2 linked regions of the Drosophila melanogaster genome follow. The protein of the gene in region 1 purifies or fractionates together with the protein of each later gene. This does not show direct contact. Each region holds a gene or a part of one and is shown in the gene's direction. Other genes may lie near its edges.

The links. Proteins that work in one complex are often made in the same cells at the same time.
Region 2: the proteins of p38a (region 1) and Npl4 purify together in Drosophila melanogaster (affinity purification with mass spectrometry, with the first as the bait; one large-scale study listed by BioGRID). This does not show direct contact.

The regions. Positions count from the first base shown.
Region 1 is NT_033777.3:24,150,540-24,154,498, reverse strand, and holds the start of p38a (p38a MAP kinase), read left to right. Parts: upstream 1-2,177; 5' UTR 2,178-2,258; intron 2,259-2,357; 5' UTR 2,358-2,405; intron 2,406-2,502; 5' UTR 2,503-2,653; intron 2,654-2,729; 5' UTR 2,730-2,796; coding exon 2,797-3,897; 3' UTR 3,898-3,959. Other genes in the region: CG6178 (uncharacterized protein), read right to left, coding at 1-675, 732-1,402.
Region 2 is NT_033777.3:25,621,718-25,625,347, reverse strand, and holds the start of Npl4 (nuclear protein localization 4), read left to right. Parts: upstream 1-1,602; 5' UTR 1,603-1,768; coding exon 1,769-1,870; intron 1,871-1,942; coding exon 1,943-2,176; intron 2,177-2,238; coding exon 2,239-2,396; intron 2,397-2,457; coding exon 2,458-2,986; intron 2,987-3,046; coding exon 3,047-3,245; intron 3,246-3,307; coding exon 3,308-3,468; intron 3,469-3,509; exon of another isoform or gene 3,510-3,630. Other genes in the region: Ssadh (succinic semialdehyde dehydrogenase), read left to right, coding at 1-416. UniProt on the Drosophila melanogaster protein: May be part of a complex that binds ubiquitinated proteins and that is necessary for the export of misfolded proteins from the ER to the cytoplasm, where they are degraded by the proteasome.

The DNA.
Region 1 (3,959 bases):
GGCGGCACCTGGTATCCCTTGTATTTGATCAGCTCCTTGATGCGGTCCACGATGAAGAACTCAAAATCATCATCATAGTAGCCAATATCGCCAGTATGCAACCAACCGTCCTTGATGGCGGTCTGCGTGGACTTCGTATCTCCGATGTAGCCCTTCATGATGCCGTCGCCTTTAAAACAAAGCTCGCCGCGCTCGTTGGCCCCCAATAGCTTGCCGGTGTCGGGATCGATCACCTTGGCATAGATTCCCACCTTAAGAACGCCCACACTGCCTGGCTTGCAGAACTCATCGTTCTGCACCAGAACACTCAGCGTTGATTCGCTGAGGCCGTATCCCTGTCGGATGAATGGCACTCCAATACGCTCCTTGATCTGATCCTCAGTTTCGCGACTGAGTGGAGCTGCTCCACACAGCAGGACCATCAAAGAGGACAAATCGTACTTATCCACGATGGGGTGTTTAGCCAAAAAGACCATCAGTGGTGGCACCATGAAGGCCATCATCACGCGATACTTTTCAATGGCAGAAAGGAAGAGCTTTTCCTCGAACTTGGGCAGGTATACCAATCGTGCGCCAACGCAGGCGGTGGTGATAAGCGTCAGACAGCCGAAGGCGTGGAACCAGGGAATGACAGTGAGTAGAGTGACCTCCTCCATTGGAATGACAGTGGGTTGGCTATTAAAGAAAAATCATTTAAAAGAAACGCCTTTATAGCATATTATTAAACTTACATTTGTGAGTCGAGAGTGGCCAGCAGGTTCATTTGGGTCAGCTGCACTCCTTTAGGAAGTCCGGTGGTTCCAGAAGAGCACACAATAAGAGACACGTCCTCGTCCTTATTGGCCGCAGGGCTCGTGAAGTCAGGCTGTGTCTTGAACTTCTCGTCCTCCATCAGCTCCTTAAGATCATAGATGTTCTTAAATTTCTTGGAAGTTCCACTGAGCGCAATGATGCCCTTGACGAACTTATTCTTGCTGGCCACTTTGGCAACACGATCAATGGTAATCTTAGAGGCGAATATGATCTTTGGCTTGGACAAGTTAATGGCGTGGTCCACCTCACGATCGGAATATGTTACGTTAAGGGGAGCAACCGTAGCCCCAACTGCTAGACCAGCGAACATGGCCAGGGCGAAGTTGACGCTGTTTTCGCTAGACAAACCAACGACGTCATTCTGTTTGACTCCCAGTTTTTGAAGGATGTATGCCAGCCGTACAATGGACTTGTGCATGAAACTGGCAGAGTACTCCACTCCATTGACGGCATCCACCAGCACCGTCCGGTCGCCAAAGCTCTTGTACTTGTCGAGGATGTACTGACCCAAGGATCTGCTATCCTGGGCCTGTCGTTCAGTCACAGGACCTCCGTACACAATGTTTCCGGGCAGTAGCTTTGAAGTCATTTTGTGTCTGCAAAGAGAAAGAAACATGATAGTTTTGCATTTTATGATGAGCTATAATGGAAGATAACGAACTGTGGGTTATCTACCAAAAATTATACACGCCTTTGGGGAGTGTGAAGTTTTCCTCGAAAATATTAAAAGAAAAACGGTTCAGGGGTTGAAGTTATAGCAACCCTTCAAACCATACTTTGAACCCCCCGGACTATCTAATCGCATTCGGTTCGCAGATCTTTTACTTGTGCTGAACATGCCATCGATGTTAACAATGTTCCCGCTATCTGAGATAGTGGACTACAGAAAATCTGCATGTTTGCCAGTCCAGGTTCCAAAGGTCGCAGTTCACAGCGGTTGAAGTGGCTTCTTCCAGCTCCCCTGCGGTCTAACATTTAGGCTTTCAAGCGAACACTCGTTAAACCATGTAATGTTTATCTTTTATACCGCTAATATATTCAGTATCATTCAGATAAACTCGTCAATTTACTTATGTACATACGCTAAAGTTTTCTAGGTTACGATGCGAGCGGGAGCGGCTTGCGTGCGAAACTAACTGTTCGTCGGAGAATGGTAGGGCGGAATGTCAGGCTGCGTTTACGGAACGATTAGATTAGCTTATTTGATAACCCCGGCGTTGAAACTGCGCAGGCGCGAGTAGTGTCTCTGACTATTTTTCATTCAAAGTACACCAAAAGTGCAACAAAAAATGGGTCAGGGGATGGTGCTGCTCAAATTTGCAGGAAAAACAAGAGACAGCTGATTCAAATACTTATTCGATAAATTCTTATTGAACTGTCAGCTGACGGTCTGGCAACGCCGTGTGTTTATTTTCATTTAAACGCTCTACACTCCAAATTTTACGGTATATGGGCTTTAAAAATATATTATATTACCTAATTTTTAGAATATTATTAAAAACTAACAAAATTATTTAATTTTAATCCCTTTATTCACATTTAAGGACATCGATAAGAGTGGAAAAAGAGACTTGTTACAATGCAATGATATGGTTAATATATTATTTTATTTATTTACTTATATATTAAGGATTTTTTTTAATATCGTGCCAAAAATGATTTTAACAACTTTACTCTGATCAAATGTAGCGCATTCGTGTGTCGCTTCTGATCGATCTGATCCACTGACGATCTGATTCATGAATGCCTAACACGCATCGGAATGGAGTAATAGCGCAAATATAGGAAAAATGCCAGGGACCAGTACTTAGTTGTTGATATTCTTGGGCGTGGAACAGAGGTAAGTACTACTGACGCAGAGCTGCCTCAAGATAAACGTAATCAGCATGGAATTATCGTTCGCATGGCATTTTAAGAATCAATACATATCTCGCTTATAGGCACCATTAACTAAGGTGACGACGCCCTTCCTCAAGCAATACCATGTCAGTGTCCATTACAAAAAAGTTTTACAAGTTGGATATAAATCGAACGGAATGGGAGATCCCGGATATATACCAGGATCTGCAGCCCGTGGGATCGGGAGCTTACGGACAGGTGTCAAAGGCAGTTGTTCGTGGCACCAATATGCATGTGGCCATTAAAAAGCTTGCCAGGCCTTTTCAATCAGCTGTCCATGCAAAGAGGACGTACCGGGAGCTTCGACTTTTAAAGCATATGGATCATGAGAACGTAATCGGTCTGCTGGACATATTCCATCCACATCCCGCTAATGGATCGCTGGAGAACTTCCAACAGGTGTACTTGGTTACCCACTTGATGGACGCAGATCTGAACAACATCATACGGATGCAGCACTTGTCCGACGACCACGTCCAGTTTTTAGTCTACCAGATACTCCGTGGCTTGAAGTATATCCACAGCGCCGGAGTGATCCACCGTGATCTTAAGCCCTCAAACATTGCCGTCAACGAGGATTGCGAGCTGCGCATTCTAGACTTCGGGCTGGCCCGCCCAACGGAGAACGAGATGACAGGCTATGTGGCCACGCGTTGGTACCGGGCACCTGAAATAATGCTCAATTGGATGCACTACGACCAAACAGTGGACATCTGGTCGGTGGGCTGCATCATGGCCGAACTAATTACCAGACGAACCCTCTTCCCAGGCACCGACCATATTCACCAGCTAAACCTGATTATGGAGATGTTGGGCACGCCACCCGCCGAATTTTTGAAGAAGATCTCATCGGAAAGTGCACGTTCCTACATCCAGTCACTTCCGCCTATGAAGGGACGAAGTTTTAAAAATGTTTTTAAGAACGCCAATCCGCTGGCCATTGATTTGCTGGAAAAGATGTTGGAGCTAGATGCCGAAAAGCGGATCACAGCCGAGGAGGCTCTTTCCCATCCATATCTGGAGAAGTATGCGGAGCCCAGCGTCGAGCAGACCTCACCACCATACGATCACAGCTTCGAGGATATGGATTTGCCCGTAGACAAATGGAAGGAATTGATCTACAAGGAGGTCACCAACTTTAAGCCCCCACCATCGTATGCTCAGGTTCTAAAGGATGTAAAGTGAACACAAACCATCAAGAATTTAAAGTATTACATAGGCCAATTTATTTGTTATAGCCTTTATGT
Region 2 (3,630 bases), 1.5 Mb from region 1:
AGAAGGCGAACATTATTCTGGGCGGACAGCCGTTGCCCGACAAGGGATCCCTTTTCTACGCACCCACAATTGTCACAGATGTGCCACCCTCGGCGCAACTCTACTCGGAGGAGGTCTTTGGTCCAGTGGTCTCCATCATACGGTTCCGAGACGAAGAAGAAGCGGTAAAGAAGGCAAACGACACCAGGAGAGGCCTGGCCGGTTACTTCTACAGCGAGAATCTGCAGCAGGTGTTCCGGGTGGCCAAGCGACTGGAGGTTGGCATGGTCGGCGTCAACGAAGGCATCATCTCCGCAGCAGAGGCTCCGTTTGGTGGCGTCAAGGAGTCCGGTGTCGGACGGGAGGGTTCCAAACACGGTATCGACGACTATGTGGACATCAAGTACATTTGCATGGGCAACCTCAAGTACGACTGAAGTCCGATGGAGGGATCACCCCCACTGCTTTCATACGCTGTCTTCCACTAGAATGCGATTGGTTTATTGTTGTCTAATTGTAGAATAACACGCCGCTATATTAATAAATGTGCACAAAGTCTACCTGAAGCTAATAGATAATTTCCCTTTTTTAAAATAGCCCGCCTCACCTTTCGATTAATTGGGATTGGTTAACAATCGCTTTAAATTGACAAGAAACCGATCATAGAGACATCGATATCCGGGAGTAATCGATTTTTCTCCACCTCTGGGCAGACTATCGCCATCCCCACAGCTGTGCGACAGAGACAGAGACAAAATTACAATGCCAAATGACAAAATTGTAAGTAAATTGTTGATAAAAAATTAAAAAGTGCATTTAGGGTGGAAACTAAGCGAATGTCTTATTGGTGAAGTGTGTGCAGTGAAATTGGTCAAGTGTTTCCCTATAGCTACCCACCAAAAAAGCCGGCAAACAATGTCGGTTTTCCAGTTCGCTGGCGTTTGTTGTTGTTGCCTAAATGTATGGAAAATATATTTAAAGTGCATTTCAGCCGGCAAAAGCGAAGCATATAATGCATAATGAACCCATTTGGAAGCACTCCCGGCAGTGCAAATCCACTGCAAGTCCCGAAATGCGGCCAAAGGTGCTGGCGGTGAAATTGAATGGTACCATGACTTGTAGATTTTCCACTGAAAGAGTGCAGTCTAGGCGGCAGTAGGACTGAGGGGAGTGTGCGGGGGTTTTGAGACCAAAAACCGATCCAAAAACCAAATAAATTATTAACAATTGTTGGCTGCAATCCGCCTGGGGGAAATGCATTTGAGGATATTTCTGTCTAATAAAGCAATTTCTGGTTGATAGGGTGCTACACTCAGAAAAATGTCTCTGCGTAAAATTAATTTTTGAAATATATGTTTTGTAAAATAAGAAAACTGCACATACCAGTAAATAGCACAACTTAAAATTTTAAATACAAATTTAATATAATTTTTTTGTTTTAAAACTGCATGCAGCTTGTCTTTCAAAATGCTGTTTTATTTTTTATTTAAAGCTCATACAATTACAGATCCGAATTTACATATACAGGCATTAGTTCTCTTTTTAACTATGCACTCATTTTGGCAACGAATTGCATTTGTTTTTAATTGCGATGCCAGATAAATTTCCGCAGTCAAGTTCGCGCCTTCATGACGTACAGTTCGAAACACTAAGCAAAAAGCCCTACAGGCTTTGGTAGCTAATAGCTACACTTGACAATCCCCCTTACCCAATCTACCACCCACCACCGCCCACACAAGAGCCCACCCAACCGCCCATCACCCAGTGACCCGTCCAGAAAGTCCAGAAAATGGCCTGTGCACCACTGCTGCTCGAGCAATTCATCTACAAGAAGCGCAATTTCGCCTACGCCTTTGTGCGCCATCGTCTGTTTGTGTTATGTAAACAATCGGTTGGATCAGAAATTGCCAAATTCACCTGTCCTAGTACTAATTAGAATCTGTTATTCATTTGTTAATTCCAGCTAATTCGCGTTCAGTCGGCGGAGGGCATCAAACGCATCGAGATCTCGCCCAAGTCAAATCTAAAGCATCTGTACGACAGCGTTCAGAATGCCCTGAAGGTGGATGGATTTGGTCTCTTCAAGGAGCGCAACTTCCTCACAGAGCTGCAGGCAAGTGGCTCCCAGCTGGTGGGGACTTCCTTGAGGCATGGCGACATGGTCTACTTAAAACAGATGGCTGGCACATCATCGCGCGTAAGTTGATCATATAGAGCAGAACGATCGGGGACTAACCTGCATTTTTCACCACTTCTCAGCGCACTAGCACCACTGTCCTGGACAGTCAGGCGTTCAAGACTAGCACCATTAGCAATCCAAACAGCGCTCGTCCATCCTTCAATGTGATCGAAGATGACGTGGACCAGGCTCTGAGCAAGGCTGATGGCACCATTAAGCGCGAACGTGATAGCAAGCTGTAGGCCTTGATTATACAATTAATTGTAAAATTAAACTGATCAACCTATAACTTTTTGTAGGTGCCACCACAATGCCAACGGCCGTTGCGTTCACTGCTCCGCACTGGAGCCCTATGATGAGTCCTATCTGAAGGAGCACAATATCAAGCACTTGTCCTTCCACTCGTACATACGAAAGCAGACATCCGGCATGGATCAGGGCAAGTACTTTGTCTTCGACGACATCAATTGCCGCATCAAGCCGGGATGTCGCGAGCATCCACCATGGCCCAAGGGCATCTGCTCCAAGTGCCAGCCGTCGGCCATTACGCTGAATCGTCAGACATATCGCCACGTGGACAACGTCATGTTCGAGAACACTAAGATCGTGGAGCGCTTCCTCAACTACTGGCGCACCACAGGACACCAGCGCATGGGATATCTGTATGGGACGTACGAGCAGCACACTGATGTTCCGTTGGGCATTCGGGCCAAGGTGGCTGCCATTTATGAGCCGCCACAAGAGTCTACCAGGGATTCGATCAATATTCAGCCGGATGAGTTCGCCGACGATGTGGATGCCGTAGCCAGTGCGCTGGGACTGAAGAAGGTTAGTTAGTTATAGACAGTAGCTATGTAGCATTAGTATTGACTTTTGTGACATTTATAGATTGGTTGGATTTTCACTGATCTCATCACGGACGATGCGAGTATCGGCACTGTCAAACAGATCCGTGGCATCGAGTCGCACTTTATTACGGCCCAGGAGTGCATCACAGCTGGCGAGCTGCAGAATCGACATCCAAATCCGTGTAAATATGCCTCCAATGGCGTCTTCGGCTCTAAGTTTGTGACCATTTGTGTAACAGGTAAGATTCACGATTTAATACTGCTTAATGAACTAGTACCAAAATAGTTTTTAACATTACAGGAGATAAAACCAAACAAGTGCACATGGAAGGCTATGCGGTTTCGGCTCAGTGCATGGCTCTGGTGCGCGATAATTGTCTGATACCCACTAAGGATGCGCCCGAGCTGGGCTACGTGCGTGAATCCACGGACAAGCAGTATGTTCCCGACGTTTTCTATAAGGTAAGTTAGAAAGTCTCCCCCCCATTCAAGCAAAATCAGTTATCGGGCAACCTTTATTGAATTACGTTCACACATTTACACAAACAACTTCCATATTTAGACATCAATACGAATGGGATTTGGTTTTTCAGTTTGATACATGCAAAGAAAATTTGGGTGTCA